Regions from separate parts of the Mus musculus genome. Here all the other regions are reported to be linked to region 3. The links are microRNA targets in miRTarBase. Many come from high-throughput screens and were not tested one by one. Region 3 holds a microRNA gene; each other region holds the end of a gene's coding sequence.

Evidence for each region. The annotated mature microRNA mmu-miR-1199-5p reads UCUGAGUCCCGGUCGCGCGG and lies in region 3 at 1,191-1,210, opposite strand. An mRNA with a match to its seed (bases 2 to 7 or 8) in the 3' UTR can be bound and repressed. Matches are read on the target gene's strand: a 7mer-m8 pairs with bases 2 to 8, a 7mer-A1 pairs with bases 2 to 7 and ends in A, and an 8mer does both.
Region 1: the mRNA of Sco1 is a reported target of mmu-miR-1199-5p. Seed matches in the 3' UTR shown: 7mer-A1 at 2,204-2,210.
Region 2: the mRNA of Dennd6a is a reported target of mmu-miR-1199-5p. Seed matches in the 3' UTR shown: 7mer-A1 at 2,277-2,283.

What each region holds. Positions count from the first base shown.
Region 1 is chr11:67,063,783-67,066,876 of GRCm38, reverse strand. It overlaps Sco1 (SCO1 cytochrome c oxidase assembly protein), which reads right to left. Exons shown (of 6, transcript NM_001040026.1): 6 at 1-2,971. The coding sequence ends at 2,837. Among named protein-coding and RNA genes, the nearest start is that of Sco1, 13 kb to the right of the region's middle.
Region 2 is chr14:26,629,188-26,632,281 of GRCm38, forward strand. It overlaps Dennd6a (DENN/MADD domain containing 6A), which reads left to right. Exons shown (of 20, transcript NM_001134465.2): 20 at 241-3,094. The coding sequence ends at 372. Among named protein-coding and RNA genes, the nearest start is that of Arf4, 7.4 kb to the right of the region's middle.
Region 3 is chr8:84,010,404-84,013,631 of GRCm38, forward strand. Mir1199 (microRNA 1199) reads right to left here and starts at 1,230; the gene lies at 1,112-1,230. It overlaps Misp3 (MISP family member 3), which reads right to left and starts at 1,317. Exons shown (of 3, transcript NM_001291292.1): 1 at 738-1,317; 2 at 308-369; 3 at 1-89. The coding sequence starts at 1,281. The coding sequence ends at 75.

The DNA.
Region 1 (3,094 bases), not on the chromosome of region 3:
GGGAAATTATGGAAATTATGGGTGGTGATGTTTGCAATAAGTAATAAACCATTCTCTTCCCTTTGGGTTTGTTAAACTTTGCTGAGAGCTCTGCCTTCTTCAGTCTCTTTGTCCCTCTCTCACCTGGGGTAGCCTGCCCTTGCTATTGTGCTAAGCTAGAGCACGTTGCTAAGAGTTGAAGTCTTACACCCCAGACATGCTTTCTTTCAAGGCCACTCATAGGAATTCTTCTGATGTGTTTTGAGGTGTAGATTGTAGACAGTGGCAGGATACATCCTACACTTCCAGGTATGTAAGCCACTACATAGTTCAAGGCATCTCACTCTGGAAGGGGCTTTGTGTCTGCTTCAATTGAAACCAATCACACCAAGTCCTGCTGGAGCTGTGCACGTCTGGTTTGTGCTCCCACCATCTGATGCCTTCCTAATGCAATCCTGGTTTTACAAAGAAAAACCCTAACAAGCAGGTTGTTGCATTTGTTCTGGTCTACACTGAACCCTACTCTACTTGCTTCTTCCTTGACCTTAGCGCAGTATACACACAGTTACAGTATGATATAGAGTGACCGATGCAGAACCCTGAGATAAAGACATTAAATGGCTACTTAATGTCTTAAACGTCTCTGAACAGGGTGGCTGGAGAGATTGCTCAGTGGTTAAAGAACACTGACCGCTCTTTCAGCAGTTCCGAGTTCAATTCTCAGTAACCACATGGTGGCTCACAACTAAGGAATGGACTATACTGGTTCACTGCAGCTGACTGATTTAACAGAAAATAATTGTTTTCTTAAGGTTCTAGAGACTGGCAATCAATGATGGGGGTGTCAGGAGTCGGTTTCTTCTGAGGCCAGGGACAGACAACTGTGCTTCAGCCTGCTCTCCTGTGTTCTAATTTCCTACCCTTTTAAGGATATCAGTAGGTTTGCTTTAAGGAAGAGAAAACCTAACAGCTTCATTTAAACCTTATTACCTCTTTAAAGCCTTACTCTCCAGCTGTGTGGGGGTGGTGATGCCTTTAGTCCCAGCACCAAATACTACCCAGAGGCAGTGGCAAGTGGATCTCAGTTCAAGGCCAGCCTGGTCCTTACAAGTTCTAGGACAGCCAGGATTACAGAGAAACCCTGCCTCAAAAATTTAAAAACAAACCAACAAATAAATAAATGCCTTCTTTCCACATTCAGTCACATTCTGAAGTGACTGATCCAGGACTTGAATATATAAATTGTAAATGACATGATTTGGCCTATAACAAGTACAGGTGTTCTTTCATGGTGACATAAGTATTTTCATTAGGCTTCATGTAAGTACCAAGAAGTTAAAAACCAGAAGGTAAGCCTTTATTGCTTGCATATAAACTAATCTGTGTTTGGGAAGAATGGTTTCCAGCAAGGCTCATTTGTAGCATCTTTGGATTCATTAAAAAGGTTCAAGTTGAAAAGGAGATAGCCAAACCCAGGTATCAGGGAAGTTTAATTCAGAAACAAAGCCAAGATTCATTACTCAGCAGGCATCGTCTTTCTTACTCTCTTTTTTTTTTTTTTTTTTTGGAGACAGGGTCTTATTAGGTAGCCTGGTTGGCCCAAGACTCTCTATTAGACCAGGCTAGCCTCAAACTTGAAGAAGCCCCTGCCTCTGCCTCCCGAGTGCTGGGACTAACAGTGTGCACACCACACCCAGCCAGACGACATTCCCTGGAGTAGCTGCTGACACCTTTAAGAGCTGGTTATGCTTGTTACTTCTCTATGGAACAGATGACCCAGGTGTGGGCTCAGGTCCTCAGATCTCAGTCACTTGCCCCTGGAGACCCAGGTCTCTGTATCCCACTCTGACTCAAGAGAGGCCAGTTCCTGGCCTGTGAATCTGCATTTTAACAAGCACTTATCTATTTAACAAGCACTTCAGTCTGTGGCCTCTACCCCTACCATGGTGTGCTAGGGACCCATTCTTCACAGAAGCAAAGCCATGCTTGTCCAAGTTGCTGGACTGACCACATCTTTTATTTCATACATTGTGTAATCTGGTACATAAAAATTACCAGATCATAGACATGATAAATATTCTCATTTCCACGTGGTCTACCACTGAAAACCAGTCAAACCACTTAGCTATTAAAAAAATAAAAAGGATTAAAAAAAAAAAAAAAGCTGGGCAGTGGTGGTGCACGCCTTTAATCCCAGCACTGGGGAGGCAGAGGCAGGCAGATTTCTGAGTTCGAGGCCAGCCTGGTCTACAGAGTGAGTTCCAGGATAGCCAGGGCTATACAGAGAAACCCTGCCTCAAAAAACAAAAAATAAAAAATAAAAAGGTGGAGAATGAACCAAAAGTTATGTGCAAACAGTAAGTTTTCTCCTCCAGCCCAAAGCAGCACCTACTGTGTGACAGAGATGCAGACCTGATGGTGACATTCCTTTTCAAAGAAGCTAAGCTTCTACTCTCAAATATAAAGAGGACTTGAATGCCTATGCTGAGCACACAAATTGAAACAGCAAGAACATTACGGAAGTGACACCTTCCTGTAGAATTTGGCCCCCCTGAGCAAGAAGACACCGGCAAGGAAGCAACACTACTCCAAGAGTGCCATTCCTACAGATGTGCATTGTGTGCCTCTCTGATGGTTCTGGACGTCTGTTCTCCACTGGCTCTGACCACCCTGGCCCTTTAACTCATGGTAGTTTCCTGGCAGACTGGGTTGGCTGAGCCCCAGGGTAACATCTCATGTAGAATGATGTTCTCAGGGTATGAAGTCCATGTTGTATGTTACAGTATATAGAGGTTCCTCTGGGAGACAAAGCTTCCTCTTCAGCAAGCCAATCCTGCATCTGGTGACACGGCTCTGGCTACCTCTTCTTCATGTGTGACCTCATGTGTGCAGCAATTGAGCCGGCTATTTCTGCCTTCTTCTTGTTTTGTCCAAAATAATCAAGAAATTCTCCATCTGGTCCAATCAAGTACATTATTATTGTATGATCCACCTGTAAAGCGGAAGGGAGAAAAGAATGTGTGAATAAAGATTACAATCTTATTTTACCGAGGAGAAAAATGTTGCAGGGTAAGAGAAGTTAGCATCAGTATGTAAGTAACCACAGCAGTTCCCA
Region 2 (3,094 bases), not on the chromosome of region 3:
AACCATTGTCTTACCTAGATTTTATGGCACACACTATCCTTTGGCCTCATCTATGAGTGTATAGAATGGCCTTTATTAAGGTCTCTTTACACCCCTCCCCCACTTGATGTTCTCTACAATTTTAGTTTCTGTAAATTCTAGGCTGAGACCTAAACTTCCAAGTGATCATTCTAAAAAAAGGTGTTTATGTAGCAAAGACAATATATTCACACAGATTCACTAAAACCGTTCCTTATGTAGTTGCAGGCTGGCCGAGAGAGCTTACCTGTGAAGCCTGACACTGTGGAGAAGTTACGGACACATATAGATGCAATTATCCTGGCCTTACCAGACGACCTGCAAGGCATACTGCTCAAGACCGGCATGACATAACACTTGTCAGGTTTTCCAGCCAGAAAGGACTGTGAAGCAGGAAGCATACTGACATTCATCTAGACGCACACTGAGCAAGCTCAGGGGCACAGCACGGAAATAAGCAGCAATTGCTAGATACAGCTGGAAAGGCTGAGCGGACACACAGACATTTGTAGTGCGTTCTGTGGTGGTTCCACAATGCTGAAATACCGAAAGACATTTCCATATTTTTAATCACGTTCTAAAGTGCTCTTATGAGAGACCTATGGGGCCATCAGTGTAAGTGACTCCAAACTGCAGTGCCGGCATTGCAGATATTTTTTTAAATTGGTGCTGCTTTGCCCAATCATGTTGAACTCAGGGGAATAGAAGAATAATGTTCACACTGGCTGTCTTCTTAAGAAGGAAAAACTGAACTTTCCAACTATAGTTAGATATAACTGAGGCTTATGTAGTGCCTTCCATTGTCCTATATGTTTCACAGGGTCCAGCTGCTAATTGTAAGGCTTTTTCTTTTTTAATTATGATACATAATTTCAAAGGCATTATGTCAAGTAATCACTTGCCCAAAAGTATTTCTTGTTGCCCCTCATGTTTATTGCCTGTTGTTTTAAATTATCATGTAGGTTTTCATGTCACAACTCTCTACCATTTTCACAACTTAGGTGTGTCTCCGAGGAAGGAGGCACATGCAGTTCTGGCTATGGAAGAGCTGATTTCTCCTCTCTCTTTTACTCACTGGCCTGCATACACTAGGTAGCTTGAATGTCTTTTGAAGACATTCTCACAATGAACATCATAGTTGTTTTTTAAAAGAATATTTTTATGTCAAAGATAAGCCATTCATGTAATAATTATTTGAGAGTTTTACATTTACCTTTTAACGTTATTTGTTGGGTGACACTATTTCCCCTAGTGGATGATTTTTAGAAGACTTTTCCTGTTGTTGTTTGACATGGGACCTTTTGTGTAAATCAGCATTACACTTTTGTTTGTTTGTTTTCATTTTGTTTGTACTACCTTGCCAAAAGTAGAATGAGATAGTTTGGTTTCAGATGGGAGTGTTGCAGAAGCCACTGTTCAGATAGGCACACACAAAGCAGCACATGTGTAAATAGCTGTGACTTAAGTACCTGCCCTTCTGAGCAGCCACACGGTGGCTTCAGAAGCCATCTCTTATTCTTTTGCTGTTATTTTCAAGGGCATTCCTGATCCAAGAAGGTTTCTCTGTGTGTGTGACTGTGGTCTCATATCTAGGGTGCCCCTTCCTTACTCATGGATACAGTCTCTTGAAGCATACCACTGTCCTAGGAAGAATATGGCATTTGAATGAAATCATTTGTCTGGATTGATTGATTGAAAATTTATTTTGTGAAACAATACTGACCTTTCAGAAAAGGGGCAACTACTTTTATATGCTAAAGTACTTCATAACTTTCTGGGAAACTTTATTTAGGTAGAAATGGTCATCTTATTATTTTTCAAAAAAATGTATTTTAATAATTTCACAATTTATATACAGTTTGTGACATGAATATGAAAGTCATTAGTATTATATCAAGGATTTTTGAAATATACTTCTACAGGATATATCATTTGAAGTTTATTTTGCACACCTAAAGAAAAACATGAAATATCAATTAGCATGATAATGCTGTCTTTATGTTTACCACATATAACAGAAACTCAACACATGGTGAAAACCAAATCATATTCACCTACTTTATCTCTTAATTTCAAATTATGCATTGGAAACCCAAGGAAGACTGAATGGTTAACTTAAATTTTTATGTCAGTTTTAGAATTTCAGAATTGTCTCTTTCATTGTTTTTGTTTTTTGTTTTTTTTTTTTTTCGAGACAGGGTTTCTCTGTGTAGCCCTGGCTGTCCTGCAACTCACTCTGTAGACCAGGCTGGCCTCCAACTCAGAAATCCACCTGCCTCTGCCTCCCGAGTGCTGGGATTAAAGGCGTGTGCTACCACCGCTAGGCTCTTTCATTGTTTTTAAGGAGTTTAGTATTCAAACCCTGCGGTTTGTTTAATGTGTTATCTCCACCAGCATTAGAAGGAATCAGTGCTTAGGGTGTTCTGTAATGCCTAGTGCCTTCTCTTTACAGTGGAAAAGAGGGTTTGTGGAGGCATTTATGGTCATTACCCAAAGCTTGAATTAAAGGCCTTGGATTTTAAAAAACTTAGGTAGCTTGTGTTATGTGTCTTCTTTTTTGGTTGGTTTTGTTTTGGAGACAAGCTTTCGTGTATCCTGGACTGGCTTCACACTCCATGTGTAGCCATGGATGATCTTGAACGTCTGCTTTTCCTGCTTCTACCGCCTCAGCGTGGAGATTGCTGGCCTGTTCCACCATGCCTAGTTCAGTGCTGAGGCCTGAGCCCAAGGATCCATGCATCTAGGCTAGCACTCTGCCAACTGAGCTACGTGCCCAGCCCTAACTTGGATTTCTTATATTTGCAATACTTGGAGAAACATACATAATGAAACTTGTACATTATTAAAATATTTTATTTCTAGATAGTTTTTTTCCAAATGAAATGAAAATCCAAACCTTTTTGTGTGTATTTTATTATAAACAGGTGAAATGATGAGATCCTAGCCAGACGCCGGTGGTGTACACCTTTAATCCCAGTGCTCAGAAGGCAGAGACAGTGAAGTGAAATGAAGTGTACTGAGGTTTAAAGCGGTTTAGATGTGGTACTCATTATGGGTATTTGTGTTTGAGTTTACT
Region 3 (3,228 bases):
TCTGGAGAGTAACCCTACCCTGGTTCTCCAAAGGGTATGTTACTTCTGTCCGCAGGTCCCAACCTTCATAGACCTCAGGGTCTGCGCTCCTAGAAGGAAAAGGGGAAGAGAAAGAACACCCTCAGGGAGAAGTTTGGCCTCTAGGCCTCCACCTCCTCTTCACTCTCTGGATCGCGTCTAGGACTTTTGAGTTTGGGTTAGAGTGGCGCTCCAGGGGACCAAGAGGCACCTTCTCCCTCCACCCCAGTGCCCAGGTGCTGCAGGGAGGGCTGGGAGACCGACAAGCATCGGAAAGGGAGTCTCCCACCTTCTCAGAGGCCCGTCTCCGCGGAGGCCAGATCACCGACAATTTTCCATCTCCCCTGCTCGCTGTGGGGGAAGGAACACTCAGCCGCGACTGCCCCTCCTCTTGCCAGCTGGAGGATGGCCGCACCCCTTATATACATACAGGTGTGCACCCCTCTTCCCCATGAAGGCCTCCACCCAGTTCTGAGGACCCAGGAACAGGAATGAGGCAAACTCAATGTAGAGAGGCACCCGAGTACTACAGAGGACCCGAGAACGCCAGAAGTCAAGGTTCCAAGGTCTGATGGATGTGGGGATCCTCACTCCAGGAGTGGGAGTGAAGAAAAGAAGGTGAACCCCCAGGAGAATAGTTAAGGGTCTGCAAGCCTACAGATGAATGATCACTGGAGGTGGAGACAGCTGGAGCTCTAGGGCCCAGGGGGACCGCTTACGGGTGAGGCTCGGCGCTGGCTCCTGGACCTCGGCGTCGCCGTAGATGCTGCGCCGCTGCAACTGCAGCTCCCGCTCGCGCTCGCGCACTCGTCGCACCTCCTGCTCCAGCAGTGACGGGGCAACGAGCGGTGGCAACTGCCCCAGTACCGGACAGCCGTCCTGAACGGCGGGGTGCAGCCGGCCTCCGGTCTCTGGCTGCCTCTGCAAGCCAGCGCCGTCCTCCGCCGCAGCCTCAAAGAAGCGCTTGAGTTCGTCCAGCGGCTGCGGCCGCCGCCGGGCGCTAGGCTCCGGAACCGCGGGGCTCGCCAGCGCCGCCTGCCTGTGAGCCTCGCGTTCGATGTCCCGTTGCATCTTCGCGCCCGCCCGAGCGCGCTCCAGGGCGCGCGGCAGCGGAGTACCGGAGCCGGGCCGACTGAGCACCGGCCGCACGCGCAACTCAATGAGTTCCTCGCCCGCGCGACCGGGACTCAGACCCCGGCTCCGGCGCAGGCTTTCCTCCCGCTCGCAGCTGCGGCGGATTTCGCGCTGGATGGGCGTCTCCATCTGCAATTCCGCCGGCGCCGGTTTGGATGCCGCGGGCTTCGGTAGAAAACACACCTGGAGGCCTCTGAGCCGAGACAGGGGCACAACTGCCCCAGTACCTCCGTTATACTAGTGCCAGGCGGCCCAGCTGTGGACCGCCCGGGCGCTCGGTCCGGTGCTCAACTGGCACCTGCGGGACCTGGCTCTCTGGCTCCAGAGTCTGCAAGTGCTCCTCTCCAGAGGTTTCCAGGACCTCACTGCCTCCCCCAGCAGCCCTCGGTGCCCTGGCTCTGCGGCTCCCGGAACACGTAGCCTTCAGGCGACCCCAGGACTCCACTCTCGGACACCCGAGGACATGGATGTTTGGAGTTAGGCGCCCTTTGAAAATTTTAGTTCTCAGAGCCGAATTGAGATGCCCAAATAGGTAGGACACGGTGCCCTGTGCAGTACCTGTAGTTACAGCCGCCGCCCGAGGTTCATAGGCGTCGCCAGCACTCTTCTTTGACCCGCCTCTGGCCTCCAGGAACATCCCCTGGGGGCAGGACTGGGCACCGCCCCCGTCACCTGCCAGCTGGATTCGAGTGGCCCTGGACCCGCCCTATGGGCCAGGGCGCCTCCACTGCTCTCCGGATTCCCGCCACCTGAACACACGGGTTGACTGAAGGGGTGGCTTCTTCGGAAAGGGCTTCCCTGAACTCACTACCCAGGGGGTATGTGTCGCCCTTTCCCTCTGGTACCACGCTGGCATTCTGGGGTCTTTTTTTTTTTTTTTTTTTTTTTTCATCACTTTCCGGAGACCTGACCTCTAGCGGAGCGCCGCGCTGATCGCTGAACCACGGCCTCCTTACAGAGTGTTTCCCCGGTCGTCTTTCGCTGACCTCACTAGTCTAGGTCAGCAAGTGCCAGCCTGCGGCCAGCGACACCACTCTCCTTCCCCCCGCCCCCTATCCCGTGATCTCCGGGCCTTCTCTGCACACTGATCGCTGAGGCAACACAGCTCGAGTCCAGCCCGAGGGTCGCCCGGGGCCGCCGCACTGGGTGCTGCTGCTACCCGGGGCTGCTCAGCTCTGTCTGGTTTGCAGCGGCGCTGCCGCCACTCAAAACCCTGGGGCAGATTCCCCACCCCCACCTTCCAGAAAAGCCCGCAAGGCATTGGCAGCCAAGTGTCCAGCTAGAATGAGCGGTGTTTGAGGGCACAGACATTACAGGACTTCCGGGCCTCAGCCGAGCAATTGTGGCTGGAAGGCGGTCAGCTTGGACCAGTTTGCCCAGGAGGCCCAAGATGGGGCAGAGGAGCCACCGGGTTAGCGGGAGGCAGTAGCGACCTTTGTCTGGTGCCCGATCTGTGTTTCGGGACAGGGTCGATGACCCAGAGTGAGGGCTAACCACTCGTAGAGACATTTCCACTCGCCCTTGTGGAACCCGGCTTTCACAAAAACCGGCCCACCCTGTGTTCTATAGTAACCTAGAAGAAAGAATTGCCTAAAGAAAATGGAAAGATTAAATGGGATTAAGAGAGTGGTGGCACACTCCTTTAATCCCAGCACTCAGGAGGCAGAGGTAGAGGTGTCTCAGGCCAGCCCCTATTCTCCGTAATGAGTTCCAGGACACCTGCATTTCCAGATCTTGCTTCACCAAAAAAGTAAATGGAAATAGAGGGCTACACAATCCCAACTACTTGGTCACCCTTTTCAGTCTGTCCTCTCTTACAACCAGCCTCAAACGGTGCCTCCTCTTGGGTTGGAAAGATGGCTCATCAGTTAAGAGCACGGGCTGCTCTTCCAGATGACCAGGATGGTTCACACTATCTGTAACTCTAACCTTATGGGACCTGACCTCCTCCCAAACCCAGGCACTGTCCCAACATGGTGCACAGATACATGTGCAGGCACATGGCTGATACACATAAAATAAAAACAAATAAATCTTTAAACAAGAGTAAGTTTAAGGCCTGGGATGATGGCTTGG